Linked DNA regions of Oryzias latipes. The protein of the gene in region 2 purifies or fractionates together with the protein of the main gene of each other region. This does not show direct contact. Links are inferred from orthologs where the notes say so. Each region holds a gene or a part of one and is shown on either strand. Other genes may lie near its edges.

Region 1 (6,134 bases), on a different chromosome or scaffold from region 2:
CAGGAGCAGATGAAAAAAGGCCATTTGAAAAGGAGCCTATTTGTGGGCGGGGCCACAAGCTCTCCGCTCCGCTCCGCTCCAACACTTGTAGACGACTAGATCCATGTACGTCTTTGTTTTCCTTGTCTGAGTTGGCGTCTGGCTCAAAACTTTACGGCTCGATAAAGGACTACAGCTGCTCTGCAGAAACTGTCCTTAAAAAAAAAACACAGCTTTTTAAAATTTAGGCTAAAAACGGCATAATCATAATGAAAAGACCACTGGGAAATCTTTTAAAATAGATCCAAAAAATAATCAGAGTGGTTTTTACACCTACTGTGTTTAGTTTTTAACTACAAATAAAACGCCACCAGGATAAATAGCCTGTTGAATGTGTTTGCGGTCAGAATCGGGAGCTGGCCTGTTCCAGTTCTAACCTGTGATCTCTGTTTCCAGGGTCCCATGTGCGACCTGCTGTGGTCGGACCCTGACGACCGCGGCGGCTGGGGCATCTCTCCTCGAGGAGCAGGCTACACTTTTGGTCAGGACATATCTGAGACCTTCAACCACGCCAACCGCCTCACACTGGTCTCTCGAGCCCACCAGCTGGTCATGGAGGTGTGCATAGTTCAAAAAACCTAACTTTGACCTAACGTTGACTTTTTTTTTTTTTTTTTTACTTTTCATCTGGAAAATGTTTACTATTTTGAGCTTATTAAGACAAACAGTAGAACTTGTGTTAGTTTGTTTTGGATCATTTTCTTCCTGTAAATAACACATCTGCTCTCTTCAGGGTTACAACTGGTGCCATGAGAGGAACGTGGTGACGATATTCAGCGCTCCTAACTACTGTTATCGCTGTGGCAACCAGGCAGCTATTATGGAACTAGATGACACCCTCAAATATTCCTTGTAAGTACATAAATTAAAAACATCAGATGCAATAGTTTAAGGTGGGAATTGTAACTTTTGCACGTCTTAAAATACTTTTCCTTTCGTCCTGCAGCTTGCAGTTTGATCCTGCGCCTCGCAGAGGGGAACCCCATGTAACCCGCCGCACCCCGGACTACTTCCTGTAAACTCTAACATTAGACCCATGCGTACAGTCCAGGCCTAGAATGGCATATACGGCTGAAAATAACTCAAATGTGGAATGGGATCCTGGGACACCGCTCGGAGCATCACAGCAGTGCACATTGTATATCCACACTTAGACCTATTTAAGCATTTTTGTGTCTGTGGGTGGACCAAAGGGTGTGTGTTCCATTACCATTTTAATAATCAGTGCTGACGACTGTACTAAATATCCCCTTTCCTCTTTAAGTCAAGTGTAAATTCCTTCTTTTGTTTGCACGTAGCTGGACTAATGGCACCAATCTCCAAGATTTCATTTTTGGCACTTTGAGTCACACCAGCTTTGGCTTATATTAAGGAAAAATGCGTACGTTCTGTTTGCACTTTTGTAAATTTAAAGAAATGTAAGTTATAAAAAAAACATGAAAGATTCACACTGTTATGTTTTTTTAAATATTGCAAATCAATAAAATTCCCCTAAATCAAGCTATACATAAGGCTTTGTTGTCCTAACTTTTTAGACTGATAAATGCAGTTTGGTTTATAAGATGCTGGATGTTCAATTTCATTCATTCATGAATTCTATATTATGTAATAGGAAATTTCAACAATAAAGATTAAGGTGACATTGATGTTTTTGTTTATTTTATGCTGCTGAAAATATTAAAAAGGTGGCAATTACTTGGGGTGGAGTAAAGTTAAATTGATTTGCGTTTATTATATTGCAAAAATAAATGAAATGAAATAAAGTGGGTCATATAATTGGCTTAGGAAACTGTTCGAATGGACACGTCGAAAGGAACAGGCGCCACCATGCGGTCAAAAGGTGCTAATACACGCAACAAAAATATAGGTCAGACTTGTAAAGGTTTGCATGAATAGCATATTTTTACACTATTATTTCTGATTAAGTCGCATTTTAAAATCTTTATACTAGTAAGTAGTAATCTAAAAGAAGATTTAAGTACAAAAATTTTGATAAAAAAGAAAACCTGGAGTCAAACTGATTTGTTTTATTTTTTTAACATTAAATAATTTTACTAACATTTATTTTAATATAATAATCTATGCTGTTATATTAAACAAAAGCATTAAATAATAATCGCACTACCACAGGCTAAACCGGCAGAGCGGCAGTCCCTCCCTTTGCTCTCTTGTCATGACGGCCTTCCGCCTGTAGGCGGCAGAAGACTCCCCCACCTTCCTGCCATCCAGATACTTCCAACTGCTCTCGGGAGTTACGCGTCTGTAAGGCCCGTTCTGCTAACTACAGGGGAATTTCGCCTCTGAATTTCCGTCAAAAATCACAGTAGGTATCTGTTTTACAGCGAATATATCTTTTTACACGAGTTACGCGTGAGATTTGAGGTCAAACGGTTGCGTGCGTGTGATTTACATAGTCATTTGAAGCGCCTCGATGTAGCTGCTAACTGTCTGTAGCTATGTAGCGTTTAGCTAAGCTGCCTGCATTGTGAAGTAGCACCGAAGTAGCTTAACTGTTAACGTCGTCATATCATTTTTTTCGTGATTAACATTTAATCTTTAACCTTTGTAGTAGAAATAACGTCATTTAAAATAGAACCACGACAACTAAGATGACAAATTTGAACGCGTTCCCGGTTCACGTAAATGTTAGCTTTAGCTAGCTCTTGTATTTACATGCTAACCCCAAGCAGTCAATGCAACAAAAATACATTTTACATTGTTTTTGGGTGAAAACTTTAAAATGATAAGGACTACGTAAACCTGTGTGTAGCATCTGCTTGGCATGTTGGACGTCATTACTCGCTAACCTGAAGTTATATCTGTCGGTGTTAAAATACATTACTTGTTTGTTTTTTTTCTTCAGATTATGCCCACGATAAAGCTGCAGAGCTCTGATGGAGAAATCTTTGAGGTGGACGTTGAGATAGCTAAACAGTCAGTCACCATCAAGACCATGTTAGAAGGTAAGACACAGTGGAATTTGCACAGTTTAAATTAAACCAGTAAGTCTGCTGCCAGCTTTAGTTTTGACTCATTTTTAAATTCATTTGGACAGATTTGGGGATGGACGATGAAGGAGACGACGACCCAGTTCCCCTGCCTAATGTAAATGCCGCCATTCTCAAAAAGGTACAGAAGCAAGGATTTAATTTGTAATGCTCTTGGATCATTTAATTATAATTAACCTGTGGTGATTGAATAATTCTAGCATTGTAAACACTGAGTTAAGTGCTTGCGTTTTAAATACATTTGAGGTTTGTCAAATAAATTATGAATGAAATGAAATTTAAAGTAACCTGCTGCAAATTCTGAGAAGTTTGACCTTTTAACAACTTATCTTTGAATGGGTCTTAATTGACTTAGCTGTTCAGTTTTATGAACTCACAAATGTGATTAGTCAGTTTAAATGGTGAAAGGAATCTCACTGTTCCAGACCTCAGTTTCCTTTTTTCACCTTTTATATTAGCTTCTTTTTACCTTTTCTCACATTTAATTGAAAATTATTTAGAAAAAAAGCATTAAGTAGAAAAAAAACAACACTTTTGAGATGTTCTTTTGAAAATAAGGAAATATTTAAAAAAGATTTCAATATCTGTACAGTTTTTCAGCCGGCTACAGTGCCCTTAAAAAAACCAATTTTTTAAAATGTTGAATAAATGTGAAATAAATGGATGCTAGTTAATCTGACTGTGTCATTATTAGGTGATTCAGTGGTGCACCCATCACAAAGATGACCCCCCTCCTCCTGAAGATGACGAGAACAAAGAGAAGAGGACAGATGATATCCCAGTGTGGGACCAGGAGTTTCTTAAAGTGGACCAGGGCACCTTGTTTGAGCTCATTCTGGTCAGTACATTTCAGATTTAGCACAGTAACCGTCGTTTTGACATAGTTTATTTTAGGGCTGGGTGTCACCAATAATGTCCAGATTCTATTTGATTCTATTACAGTTTACATACTGTAAAATGTGGTAGGTAAATAATAAACCAATGAGGCCGTTAAAACCACACAGTGTTCCATGGTTTCTCAAATGGAGAAGCTCCAACAAAAATGTGCAGATCATTATTTTCTGCCTCTCCTGCATGGTGTTTCTGTTTGTCCACTAGGTGGAGCTCACGCTAGAGCCTTACACCATATTCCAGAAGATTGAGCAAAGAGTTACTTTGAAAAAAATGTTTCCTTAGAAGACTTTGGACATTTCCTTCCTTCCTGTGAGTGTATAAAGCTGTTCATTTAGGCAGTAATGCAAGTTTCAGTCGAACAAGCGTTAGCATAAGTGGTCCTACGGGAAATTCTGTTAGATGTTAGCATCAAACTAGCAGACTTTGGGTTTACTGCTGTTATGGGTTAGGTCACCGGTAAAGGAAAGGCATGAAAGATTGATCTCTAATTTAATGGATCGATTATTGATCCATTAGGCTTGGATCAACGAATCGATATAATCAACCCAGCCATAGTTTATTAATTTAAAAACACGCCTAGTTAAAATGATAAATTCTGTTTGGTCTAATCGTTAAACAAAAAGTACCACTAAAATGCCCTGTTAGCACTTGTTGACTGCTGCACTTGCTGGATGAAAGAGTTCTGGGACTTACATGATTAAAGGAGAAAAGTGTTTTCCTTCCATGTGTGACAAAAGTGTCAGAATAACAGAATGGAAAAATACTTCTGTTTTTTGGTAATACATTTAAATACACCTGGGTACCAAACCTTAGTGTTTTAAATAAGACTACTACTAGTGATGGCAGACACCAGGGATCATTATGTCTAAGACCAAAGTCTAGCTATACCTTCCAGCACTGTTAAGCAGCAAGGATGGTTTTGTTTTTGCTGTCTTCTTGGTCTTCTCAGTAAATTGTGAGGCTGCATCACTGAAATGGTTAACATTAAAAATAGTAAATCAAACCAAAAGTGAAGTATTTTATCAACACAGCCACTTATATTTATAGAAGTTTTCTCAGTTTTGCAGTTGACTTTCTTTTTTGTTAGATTTATTTTTTAAGGTTATTTGTAATAGTTTTTTTATAACTGACTCTTTTGTTTGGGTAACAAATGATTTAAACATTTGTTGCCAGGCAACAGCTGGAAGATGTTTTTTTAATGCCGTTGGGTCGTCAGCGGTCAGAGAGCCGGTAGTGGTTCTCACAAACCAGCCATGTGACGTGATGTGAGAGGTAACCCGAGCAGAACCCAGGAGAGATTGGGAAACGGTTACTGGAAGATCCAGTCATTCCAGGAAGTGAGACACGAGTGACTCCAGAAACCCCCCCCCCCCCACACACACACACACACGCTTATTTTGTTTACAAGCAGAAATGGTTGCTACATTTAACTCAAATGTTGGATTGAAGTTGAAAGAACCATCTGAGTTTTGGGTTTTGAGGTGAGCACTGCTCAGGACAGAGAGCAACTCTTGGGGCAGATGGGGCTGTTTAAATCAGCCCCATGGTATTGATTAAAAACAAAGTCTTCTGTTTTACAAAAGGGGGAAAGAAAATCTTCTTCTTTTTTGGAGTGTAATTTCTAAAAGATTTAGTAAAAGTATTTTTCTTAACTTGAGAGTAACGCTTTACTGACAACTGTCCTTATGGGTGGGTTTAGGCTGTCTGTGGGCAAAATAATAGGGAGGTGGCCCGCAAGAAATTTTAAGGTCTTAGACCACTGGGTGAAAATGTTCATGCCCATTTTTTTTTCTTTTTTAGTAGACATCCTGCGGGTGAAAAATTGTAGCGAAGGCTTAAAAATGCATATGGATGAAGTGGGGTGCAGGCGTGTCATACAGATTTTTCCAGCCCCTCCTAACCCTGATCTCTGCGCAAGATGTCAGTAATGTTCAAGTGATAAATGCTCACTCCTTACAGTGCAGCCTGACTGTGAGAATGTAGGAAATTAGACGACCACTGCATAGTTTGTGTGTACACCTGAACACATGCGGCTTCAGCCTGAGGTTGCTAACGGGTCAGTACTTGCGCCTTACTAACGACTAGACTGTGGTGTAAGGGCACTGTGTTACTGCTTCACCCACTTGAAGTGTGGGCATTTTACACTATCCTTACAAAAACCTCCTGATACATGACAGTGGTACATTCCATTCA
Region 2 (5,835 bases):
AAGAAAGCTTGCATCTATGTGACCTTTAAGAAAATATTTTGCACACAAATAAACTTCCCAGGTGTTTTTTCTCTCCAAACCTTGGGAGAAAAGTTTTGTTCTATGACAACCATCTGAAGACAGAAAAGAGGTAAATATTGCCTTTCCAGTGTAGAGCCACATGGCTCTTCTTCATCCCACATCTTTTTTTTCCCCCCATCTTCTCTGAAATTCATTTTGTTTTTAAAACAAAGTACCAATGATGAAATGGAAAATACTATACTAGAGATGATGAAATGTTGCAGCCCTAAGACCCAAACATTCCAAAACAAACAGGGATCCTTCACATTGTTGAGAATTCACAGAGAAGATATTTGTTATTTTCCATCAAGAGGGACTTTGACTGTAAACATAACTTCATGTAAAGACGTAGGAGATTTGACTCGTGGTATTTGCTCAGATGGAGTATGTACCAAATATTTAATGGAGATCAGTTAATCAGTTCAGTGTGGCAATGGAGTTTATATTTTAACACTCTCTGAAGGTGGAGAGGAAGATACTTGCCACTGCCGGAATATTGCAAACACTCTCTTAGACTTGTCACGGGGACCCTATTTGGAGAAGAACATTTGAAATAGTAATATGAACAAGAGTTCTATATTTATAGAATAAGTATACAAGAAAATACCAAGACTGCCAACTTACCTGCTCTGGACTACCTTTCAGTGTGCTGGAGTTCTTTGAAGGCATGAAAAGGTCAAGGGCAGCTTTCCAGCCTTGTTGATTCAACGCTACTCCTCCATCCAAAACAGAGGCATGATCTGGATCCACGTTCTCCTGTCCTGCAGAGATCCAAGGACACCAGTCCCTGTGCTGAGAAAGAGGGTCAAATGTGCCCTTATGCAGAGGCCCATCCTGAAAGAGAGAAATGTCACATGTTAAAACTCATCATTTAAAGTAAACATCTTGAAATTCAAAAATCTTACAAATGCTGATTCACCATAGAAAAAGACTATGAAGCATCCAAATCAAAAGCAAGACAGGAACTAAGAAGTAATGATTGTTCTTACAGGACCACCAACTGTTGAGAAGCACAAGCGTTTGGGAGGATGGAGGCTGGTGGAGCCGTCGGCCCCCGAATTATCTCCATGTCCTCGACTTCGAGTTGCAGGCCTCTTGCCCCTCGTCAGAGGACTTAGCAAGTCATCACTGGGGCTGGGTGAGTCTCTGCTTTTGGCTCGTAATGCAGTGGGGGAGGAGGAGGTCCCCTCAACCTGCAACAGAAAACAAAAATATGAAAAAGTCTGATAAAAAGGAGTTGAAGGATCAAAAGGGTTTTGGTATGGTGGGAGGCAGTTCATTGTGGCTCTTTACATTATATCCTCTAATAAACTAGAGATGACAATGAGGGTAGAATTTCTGTAATCACTTCCTACACCATCAACAGTGAGTTTGTGAAAATCCTTCTCCAAACGGGAGAAGAGGGTCATGTCTACTGAAGCAAATGTGGCATAGAAAAGCCTCAACCTTACCACAGAGCAACAAACACAAGAATGCTTGCCTGGTCGGAGCGTATGGAGTCCTGGCTCCTCAGCTTCATGCGGCATGGAGATGCCGCATGAGTGGACGAGGCAGGGTCTGCCTGGCTGTCGCTGCAGCCCCCTAAGACAGAACCTGTTCCATGAGCAGAGGGTCCTGCAGAGCTTGGTACCGTCTCTGCCTCACCTCCGATTTCTTCCATCTGGTGGAAATTCCACAAACCCACCTTCCGCATGCAATAGGAGCAGGTCAGGATTGGCAGGTTCATGGCACGTAAAGCTGGACTAAGATGAAAGAAATTTAATTTTGGACCCAAATTCCACCAAATAACCTTGTGTTTTAGAAATGCACCTTTTTTACTGAAACAACTCTCACCTTGCTGCCCAACCACAAAGAGAAACGACGCATGCAGCCACCTGAACAGACAATGGTTCAGAGCATGGACTGCATCCCTTTATTTTTAGCTCTTCCTCAATCAGTTGCAGTATATTACTGATGACATCCTCTGTCAAAGACTGGGGGGAAAAAAGACCACAAATAATAGCTGTTATTGTCTTGTTAAAAATAGTTCATATGTTAATAAAGCAATTTCTTTAATGAACCCTTAATGATATCACATTCCCTTGATAATAATTGATGTTTTTATCTAAGTCCTTCTGAAATTTAAGCTGGCACAAGTGTTCTTTAAATAAAGCCCTTTACCATAGACTTCAGCTGCTCTGGCCTCATGGCTGGCAGCTGCTGAGCAAGGAGACAGGCACTCTGGAAACGTTCCAAAAAGGCAGCAAGCAGCGTTGACGGTTCAGAGGCTGGAACAAGCCAGAATCTCTCTGGATAAACAGAAATACTTATATTTATTACGACCATCATGCTGATGGTTAATAAACAGACGGAGTAGTGGATTGTATGTTTGTTGTAAGTTTGCTCCAGACAAAATGGTTGCTTCTACCTGGACATGGAAAGTCAGGCCAAGGACAAAACTTCTCATGCTGAGTCTGTAGTTGTCTCAATATCTCTGCAATGCGGCTTTCATCTATTTAAAAGAACAGAACAGCTTGACATCTCATTTTGGCAGGCCAGCACCATTACCGTCGCCATATTGCTTCAAGTTTGAGCTTACATTTCTTAAAGTCTAACGTTGGTTGTAGTGATGCACAAAGGAAAGCCTGGCAGCTGGAGCACTTCAGCATGTCACAACCAACATTGATCCAACCATATCTGGCACACATCAGAGGAGAAAGTGCACGGGGTTTGCCTGCCCATCTCAAACAGTGACATATTAAGGAAAAGAGGACCCTAAATAATAGGCAGCTTGTGTTAGCAATTACAAATGTGTATTTTGATTATGTTTAAAAAACGGTGCATTTTAACAAATCACATGGAAGCAATGTATATATGTATTTAAAACAAAAAATAAACGTTGTCCATTAATAAATATATAATATGAAGGAAGGATATAGAATAGGATTCCACTCTTGAGAAAAATGCTTCTTTGTTTGTTGCTTCACACGGTGTTTGAGTGTTGTCTTTAACTTCCAGAACTTTTAAGTCCCCTTGTTCACTGAAACAAGACATAAAACATAAGTCCTTTTTACAAAACACAAAATATCCAATGGACCATTTTGTACACAATGTTTTCTGATCAATTTGCTAGACGGAAATAGTTGCTGTGATTCTTGTGGTTATTTTTAGCATACATACATAACTGCAAACTAACTGCTGGACCCCGGCTAACAACAGCTGCAGCATAAGGCTATAAAAACACATTTTTGAATAATTTATTTAATCCACATCATTGCAACCGTATGAGTACAGAAACTCGGGCTCGTTTGTCAAACTCTCAGCTCTGTGCAGACTTGAAAAACCCCTCCAGCAAAACTATGAATACGTTCGAGGTGAGATGCTAAGCTAAGACGTGGCTAACCCAGTCAGCTACCGTCAACTTAGATTTTTCCAAAAAAAAAAATAAACTGGTAGTTTAAAACGCCACCTGTTGGACCCAATCTCCGGTAATGATACTCCTTCGCTGAGGAGTTCACGAACTTTTTCCGGAGATGCAAAAGAAGACTTTAGGTGGTTAGAATTGCCGAGACGGTCCCCGCGACTGCCGCCGATATTCGCCATGGTCGGCTCTGACAAAAATCCCCAGAGAAACACATCCCGGAAAAAAGTTGTTCCGCTTCACCAGAGCCACAAACGCAGTAAACAAACAGGACATTTTTGGTGTAAAATCTTTGTCATATGCAGTTGACCGCTAGATATTTCAACGACGTATAAATGATATTATACAGGTACGTTTTATGTGGATGATTTTTGTAGAACATAGATCACATTGTCAGCAAAAGCTACCAGAACTTTCACAATACGCTAAAATTGTGACTCACTGTTGAACAAAACCAAAATAAAACTAATTTAAATTTAGATCTAATTTAAATGTAACGACGTTTGAGTATTAAAATTTAAATTTAGTGTTTACATTTAAAGACTTAGTGTGAGTGTTTGCAATTTAAAGTGTGAGTGTTTAAATTCAAACACTATATATGTTTACATTTATGTATGAATTTATTAAAATAATATATGCTAAATAAATTAAATGTTTTTATTCAGTAAAAACATTAAATTATTTCTAATTTGATTAATTTACTACAAATTAATTTAATAATTGTATTTGCATTTTTATATTTCTTCATTTTTTATACATATTTTTAAATTATAAGTTTACGTCTACATTCAATAAAATAAAATAAAATAAAATAAAATAAAATAAAATAAAATAAAATAAAATAAAATAAAATAAAATAAAATAAAATAAAATAAAATAAAATAAAATAAAATAAAATATGGCGGCAGTTCCGTTTTCCTGAAGACGCAACGTCCTGGTAACAAGCTCAGCGATTGGTCAAGTGTGTCACTGCCGGGGTGGAAAGAAAAACAGTGAATGGCTTCAAACCTGCCTGAGATGTGAAATGTTTCAGCAGCGTTTTGGCAGACGTGTTTTATATTCGACGTGACATCGAAGAGGACAGGGTTGTGAAGGGGACACGATGTCGGACGCCGAAAGGTTTCACTGTTCAGATCAGCTGAATAAATTCGAGAGACTGATTGGCAGGCCGCCGCACGAAGGGCTGCTAGCAGGTCGGTTCATAACATTAGCAACGATGCTATCAACCCTCTGTTTTGGTTTTTTCTTCGCACTTTTAAACCATTGTTCCGTAAGGAACATTACGTGTATATAATAATGGGTGTTTAATGTATTTTTGTAATTAAATTTATCTAATATATCTCATTTAATTTTATTTTTTTAATGTAATGTATACATTATGTATCTGTATTTAATGCCTTTTTTCCCACTTGTTTTCTTCGATAAAAAGGATGGATTTCTCCATAATGTAAACATTCAGATTTTAAATTGACACATTTACTTTTTAGCTCTATTCTAAAATCTAAGATTTGTTTGTAAAAATCCAACCAAGAAAAAATAAATCAGTTTAAAATTGCATTTATATTCCACTTCTATGCTATTTCTACTTATTCTCCATTGGCATATTCTTTTTATATGTTTTCATCACTATTAATATATGGATTGATTGACACATTGAACTAGAGTCATAGATAAGCTTGTGAATAAGTTTAAAAACAATAAACAGAGAAGGGGTGTATTTGTTTTATCTGATATTACTGGGATTCATTCAAGTTGGAAACATTTATTTGTATTTTATACTTTTGTAAATTGAAATTACATTAGCAGCACTTTTTTAAAGCTTTAAATAGTACTGCAAATATAATAAAGTGCAGTGGTTATAGCTGTTATTCTCAGAAATATGCATTAACTTCAGCTTCACTGAAGAGTTTTCAAGAATTGTTTAAAACAGCCACTCTGATCATCTTTTGATTTGTTCGAAAAGCGTTCCCAGTGGTCTTTGAATTATGATTATGCCGTTTTTAAGCAAAATCCCCGAAACCGGTGTCGTTTTTTGGGACATATTTTCTGCAGGGAGTAAGTAGTTCATTAGAAATTTAGCTTGGACGAGGAAGATGAAGACGCATATGGATCTAGTCGTCTACAAATGGATGCATCAGAATAGACCGGCGCAGGAAGCTTGTGGCTTTTGCATCTGCTCCTGATTCACAAGGAATTTGATTGAAGAAATACTCAGACATGCAATTTTCTTTAAATGTGTCCTCAAACATGAGAAAATCCCACAAGAATGTGTTGCAAAAACCAAAAAGACAATTTTCATCGGCGTGTGCCTTTAAACTCTTCAGTAATGACATATTCTACTCGTTTTTCTTCAATATTTTCAGACTAAAATTTTT
Region 3 (5,821 bases), on a different chromosome or scaffold from region 2:
GTAGACAGAAAATATTTAAAAACGATGCTCAACTTTATGGTAACTTGTAAACAAAATAACTTTCAAGATTGCCCTTAGGACTGACGACTGTCCCGGTTCTGCTATGCTGCAATGATCCAGCAGATGTCAGTAGAGGCACCAAGGGCTTTGTTAAAAGAGTCAAACTTTTTATTAACACATTTTTAGAGGTTGACAATCCATATTCATAATAAAAAACGAAGTCCGTGGTGAATTTCAAGGTCTTAAAATAAAGCTGTAAATAAAATGAACTGGTGCTGCTCTGAGGGAGGCAGATTTGACCGATCATGCAGGGGACCTAATGAGCAGCGGGCGTTGGTTTGGTTTCTAGCAGCTTCTCCACCATGAGTTTGGCGTAACGCATGCGACTGGCTAGTTCTTTGCTACAACCAAACTCCTCCAGCAGGGAGAGCTTGTAGGTGCGGAAGTCTCGCTTCTCGTTGATGTAGGTCACCGCGGCCATCAGTGGACACAGAATCAGCTTAGTGTGGTCCTGATGAACACAGATTACAACAATTACAGATTGCATTCAAGCAATTCATTAGGAAACGTCACTATTCGTGGTGCGAGCGATGGACTATGGCGTCTTACCTGGAAGAAGTTGATCTGAACCGTTCCATTGCTGAGGTGCAGGATGATGGCGCTCTTGGTTCGAAACCAGAGGCAGAGGTAAGGCAGCCGGGCCAGTTCATCACCTTCACGGCGCGCAATGTTGGCACCAGCTTTCAGGAGATGCTCACTCATGTAGTTGCGGAAATATTTCAGTAATGTAATCTGCAGGACAGGAAAAATACTCATGGTACTCTACTAGCAGAGGAAAAAATACAGAGCCCTGGACATTACATGACGTAACACCTTTTGCACACAAAATACAACTTTGTGGACAAAAACTAGCATTTTTATGTCCGCAATGTAGTATTTGTGTGCTCAAAATAATAATTTATGGCCACAAATTATTAATTTGAGGGAACAATTCATTTTTTGATGTCATATCCAGGGCTCTAAAAAAAACAATAACGTGAAAGAAGACAGGTTATTCTGTCTTCTTTCAGAATTACCTGAACAAAGCAACAAACAGAATTAGCTTCATCCACCAACCTTTTTGTTGAGAGAAGCAGGGAATGAGCGAACGCTTAAATAGGACTCAGCAGCCTTCTTGTCAATGTACTGCAGACTGTCGCCATCAGCATACATGATGAGTCGGGTGAAATCGTTGAATAGAACACCAACACTGTTGTCACAAAGCTGGTATCCTGCGAAAGCAATTTACAGCACACCCTTAATTCTCCATTAAAAGCAAGACAATAAAAGGCAAACCTGTCCTAAGATTTAGAATTTACCTAATCCATATTTGTCAGAGTAGTCGACCCATTTACTGATCCAAAAGATGGGAATACACGCAGGATCCTCTGCTTCCTCTGAAATCAAAGACAAGGGGTTTTCTGTAAGAAGGACTGACTAAAACTGCAGAAAGTTTAGGTAGTTCCTGCAGGCGGCTGCTCTCACCTTGCCGAATGACCGCCTTCTCTGAAGGCTTGGCAGAGATGATGCTGTTGAGCTGCTGCAGCATGTCCTTCAGGTAACATTCTTCTGGCTCCGCCTCTCTGCACACAAAATTCCCATTTATCATTTTTGATCAAACTACGACGCATGTTTTAGACCTTAGTGTGATGTCTCACAGTGGAGCAGGCTCGTCTTTCATGTCCACCTTCTCTGTGCCGGCTGAGAAAAAAAATATATAAAAAAAACCTCCATCAATATCACTGTTGATTAACTGCAGACTTTCATTATCAGTGCACCAGTTTTGGGCAATTGTTGGGTTTGTTACCTTTGTTGTTTATGGCAGTCAGGGGGCGCCTCTGGCTGAGCTCTGCAGCCATGGAGGGGGCAATGGAGAACCGCGGGGGCACAGTGAGACAAGTGGTGGGCAGCCGCAGGGGGACGTATCCCGATGTGAAGAACTCATCCGTCTGCAGGTCAGTGATGGTGGGCCTCTGGGCAGGATCGGCATGCAGCATCCTCTTGATGAGAGCCGAGGCTGACGGGTTGATTTGCTGCAGCATTCAAGTGAAGTGACGGTAAACTTAAGATTTTCTTTCACCAACTATTACGTACATTTAGGGATTAACGTCAGCTCTTCTCACCCAGGGGATGGTGTAATTGTTCTTCTTGATCCGGTTGTATGTGTCTTTCAGGCATGAGGTTTCAAACGGAGGCTTGCCGACTAACAAAGTGTACCTATGAGAGGATACAGGAAGGAAGTTGAGTATCCAGAATCCTGTGGAATGACACTCTTCCCCACTCCACTGTGGGTTTACACACTTACAATATGCACCCAAGTGACCAGACATCCACTTCATAGCTGTGGCCTTTCTTGCACAGCACTTCCGGAGCGATATAGTTGGGCGTTCCACACAAGGTCTTCTTCCGTTCACCATCAAACTCAATCTTTGTGGCCAAACCAAAGTCACCTAGCAAAAAAGGAAAGAAAGAAATGATCAGCGTTTAATCTGAGTAAAGGATATTAAGAAGCCAAATATGGGTGTTAACAAATTGGAGCTGGAAGTTCTCAACAAGGAAGTTATGGGAGCATATCAAGAACATGGGTGTGCCCGTTTCTTTGTCACTACACCGACAGGTTTCCTGCTCTCCATACCTATCTTGACTTCCATGTCGTCGTTGAGGAAGATGTTCCCCAGTTTCAGGTCTCTGTGGATGACCTTGTTGCTGTGCAGATAATGGACCCCTTTCAGCAGCTGGGTCATGTAGTAGCGAGCCTCCGGCTCCGTGACCGCCTTCCTGCGCTTGTGCAACTCCAACAGGGACTTGAAAAAGGACAACAGTTCTGGTGAGCGGCTGAACTCAGTGGAGGAAAATGGAGGCTGGGAGAGCATGAACAAGCTGGATGAAGTGAAGTGGCACCTCAAGAAGTGTTAAAAACAACACGTGGAACAACACAAAGGGGAAAAAGAATTTAGATATCTCTATAGTTTTAAATTACAAAAAGTTACTGGTTTAGGATAAGTAACAGTGATTTAAAGCAGTGATCAGGGGATTTGAGTCTCCCAGCACTATGCCAAAGGAGGGGGGGGGGGGGGGGTAACGGAAGAGGCCACATTGTTAACCGTTGGCCTTCATGTATTTTCATTTAGAGTTCCCAAAATCCTCACCCTTCTCCTGCAGATCTCCAGGACCACATAGACAAAGTCGTCGTCCTCAAAGAAGCCGTGGAAGCCCACGATGTTAGCATGATTGAGGCTCTTGTGAATGGAGATTTCCGAGCTCATCTTCTCCCTTTGGTGCTGCTTCAGGATCAACGACTTGGGCACTATTTTGCCAGCGAAAACCTGCTTGGTCTCCATGTCTGTAATTTCGAAGCATTTGGCGAAGCCCCCCTTGCCGAGGAACCTGCCCTTGGAGTATCTCCTCAGGGTGCGGGGATCCACCAAAACCTCTGGGATTTCTTTCAGAGGAGCCGATTTTGGGTCGACGTGTCCGGACGGCTGCGCCGGCTTTGCGATAGCAGCACTCATGGTGTACTTTAAAAGTGCTCTTTCCGCGTTAATAAAACTCCAAAGAAGTCGAAACGCAAAAGTTATTAAACAAGGGCTAAAGTGTTGTTTAACCCTCCAACTCAACCGACGTTAGTTTAGCCTTCGAAGCTAACTTTTTCTACGCCTCAATTTACAGCAAATACTAACAAACGATCTAAACCGCAAACGTTGACTAACATTTAAAGGCCGACAGGTCCCAAGATTAAATAAATTAATTAAAAAAAAAACCGGAGGCAGAATTCTTGCGCAGACTTCCCCGGCAGCGGTTGCCTTGTCCCGTTCTGCCTTTTCGATAACAAGTGTCTCGTACAAATTTAAAATGCTGGCTCGGTCGTTTTGGCGATCGTTGATTGGTCTGCTAGATTTGAATTCCACAGCGTCACAGCAAAGCATCTTGGGAACATGTGTACAAAAATAGCCAATCAGGAGTAGAGTAGAAGGCCTCCAACAATCTGATTGGCTGAAAGGCTGTTTTTGTTTCCTCGAGAAAGACGGATGGGAAATGTAGTCGGGAAAAGGATTTAATTTCGAAAGTGTTTTGTTATTAGCGTTATCCGAATTATGGCCACTCCTGATCCAATATCGATCATTTAGGTTCATGTTATTAGTTGAACACTAATATTACATGAATGCAGAGGATCATATGAAGTTTATTTAATCTTTGTTAGACTATGAGTTTTTTATGAATTTGTCATTTTCACTTTTTGGATGGATTTTTATTGACAGACATTGTTGGTTCAGGTTATACACTTTTATTTTTATTGATTGCCATGCTGACTGTGTACACTCATCTTGCGCCACACTTCCTTGAAAAACTTTCAACTTTTCATAAATTGAGAAACATGTGAGTGTTTGCTTTCTTCTCATGTTTTCTTTTAATTTCTACTCTGTTAGAACAACCATTAAATACTGTTTCAAACCAAATTCTCAGACAGTGCTATCGGCATTCTAAGTGTATCATTGTAATCATTGAAAAGCCACAAATGCCCTCTGTAGATACCAAAAGGAGTTCATTCAGTAATTGCAGTGGTTGAATAATTTTCAGGTCTAGAAATGTCCACTATGGGGACAAGTTTTTATTGCCGGTAGTGAGGAGGATATTTTTCACTCTAGATTGGTTGAAATTCAAAAAGGATTTTGAGCAAAAAAGCCTCAGGGTTTAACTTGAAAGATTATTTATGCTGGAAAGCATAAAATGGTGAGAAGCAGTAAAATATAGTGTAACAAAAGCAATATGAGAAAGTAAACCTGCAGTAATGGTTTAATCTGTCTTGCCACACTAAAAAAAAGTCACATCGTTTTTGTGATACCAAGATTATTGTTTATTTGACAAGATGTTAACATGATGAAATTAAGGACTTTCACTTTCTGATCATGATGGTTAACCTGTTGATGCCTATACTTAAATAATAACTCCAGAATACATGAAGATTCCCAATTTTTTACATTTGGATATTGACTGTACTGTTTGGTTTCAACATGCCAAGCTAAAAAAAAAAAAAAAAGTTGTTTTTCCCCTAAGGTTTTCATTTCTTTTTTTCTTTATCCACCACTGCATGGTAGTTGGGGTAACCAGTTAATAGATTGCTGGTTGCTGGCTGATCAACATTTTGTGGTAAATTAATTTGGGTTAAGAGTGTAAAGGGGGAATGGTTATGGGACACTAACTCAAAACACAGCTTGTTGAGGGGATGCTTACCTGAAGACTGCGGGGACTTGCTTGCACCGGTGCATCCTAAGGCTACAAACACACCGTTTATAAACCATCAGAGGTTGTAAAGGAATACAGTTCAGTAGTTTGGAGGTAGCATTACTTATTCAAGAGCCACATGTTTTTATTTGAGCTCTGCCTGTGGGCTAGAATAATATTTCAAACTTCTCCAAAGCTTCTAACTAAAGTTTTCCTTTTTTTATCTTTTGGACAAAAGCTTTTGTGCCTTGTAATTCATGTACTTGTCTTTGTTGTAGCCGTTTATAAATGTTGTAATTTCCATCTCCACCCCTACATGCTGCTGCACTCTGATTCCTTGCTGTGTGTTTACTTTTCTTGCAGATTTGACTTGACTTGAGCTAAAGATGTTACATGCAACAAAAACACAAACACACTGCCAAACAAGGACAGTTTTATTTGATTAAGGTGAGCACACAGGAATGCTTGGGTTCACTCAGAGAATATCACATATCAGTGTCCATGTTCAGGCTTTTATTTACTCAATTTCCTCTAGTTGCAGTGCTCAAAAAATCCATAC

What was found. Proteins that work in one complex are often made in the same cells at the same time.
Region 1: the proteins of zc3hc1 (region 2) and skp1 purify together in Homo sapiens (affinity purification with western blotting; 9 studies listed by BioGRID and IntAct, with this or other methods). This does not show direct contact. The link is inferred for Oryzias latipes from reciprocal best matches to the Homo sapiens genes ZC3HC1 and SKP1.
Region 3: the proteins of zc3hc1 (region 2) and plk1 purify together in Homo sapiens (affinity purification with mass spectrometry; 3 studies listed by BioGRID and IntAct, counting the BioPlex papers as one, with this or other methods). This does not show direct contact. The link is inferred for Oryzias latipes from reciprocal best matches to the Homo sapiens genes ZC3HC1 and PLK1.

What each region holds. Positions count from the first base shown.
Region 1 is NC_019872.2:4,049,650-4,055,783, forward strand, and holds the start of skp1 (S-phase kinase-associated protein 1), read left to right. Parts: upstream 1-2,181; 5' UTR 2,182-2,362; intron 2,363-2,902; 5' UTR 2,903-2,905; coding exon 2,906-3,002; intron 3,003-3,094; coding exon 3,095-3,168; intron 3,169-3,741; coding exon 3,742-3,885; intron 3,886-6,134. Other genes in the region: ppp2ca (serine/threonine-protein phosphatase 2A catalytic subunit alpha isoform), read left to right, coding at 436-597, 773-891, 986-1,058. UniProt on the Homo sapiens protein: Essential component of the SCF (SKP1-CUL1-F-box protein) ubiquitin ligase complex, which mediates the ubiquitination of proteins involved in cell cycle progression, signal transduction and transcription.
Region 2 is NC_019881.2:14,717,777-14,723,611, reverse strand, and holds the start of zc3hc1 (nuclear-interacting partner of ALK), read right to left. Parts: upstream 3,669-5,835; 5' UTR 3,643-3,668; coding exon 3,509-3,642; intron 3,080-3,508; coding exon 2,977-3,079; intron 2,790-2,976; coding exon 2,639-2,789; intron 2,552-2,638; coding exon 2,468-2,551; intron 2,349-2,467; coding exon 2,221-2,348; intron 2,034-2,220; coding exon 1,894-2,033; intron 1,803-1,893; coding exon 1,541-1,802; intron 1,254-1,540; coding exon 1,050-1,253; intron 895-1,049; coding exon 685-894; intron 591-684; coding exon 501-590; 3' UTR 1-500. Other genes in the region: klhdc10 (kelch domain-containing protein 10), read left to right, coding at 4,563-4,653. UniProt on the Homo sapiens protein: Required for proper positioning of a substantial amount of TPR at the nuclear basket (NB) through interaction with TPR.
Region 3 is NC_019859.2:22,725,215-22,731,035, forward strand, and holds the start of plk1 (serine/threonine-protein kinase PLK1), read right to left. Parts: upstream 3,954-5,821; 5' UTR 3,552-3,953; coding exon 3,189-3,551; intron 2,844-3,188; coding exon 2,675-2,843; intron 2,490-2,674; coding exon 2,345-2,489; intron 2,257-2,344; coding exon 2,163-2,256; intron 2,073-2,162; coding exon 1,847-2,072; intron 1,741-1,846; coding exon 1,698-1,740; intron 1,623-1,697; coding exon 1,525-1,622; intron 1,437-1,524; coding exon 1,359-1,436; intron 1,272-1,358; coding exon 1,117-1,271; intron 793-1,116; coding exon 610-792; intron 512-609; coding exon 317-511; 3' UTR 1-316. UniProt on the Homo sapiens protein: Serine/threonine-protein kinase that performs several important functions throughout M phase of the cell cycle, including the regulation of centrosome maturation and spindle assembly, the removal of cohesins from chromosome arms, the inactivation of anaphase-promoting complex/cyclosome (APC/C) inhibitors, and the regulation of mitotic exit and cytokinesis.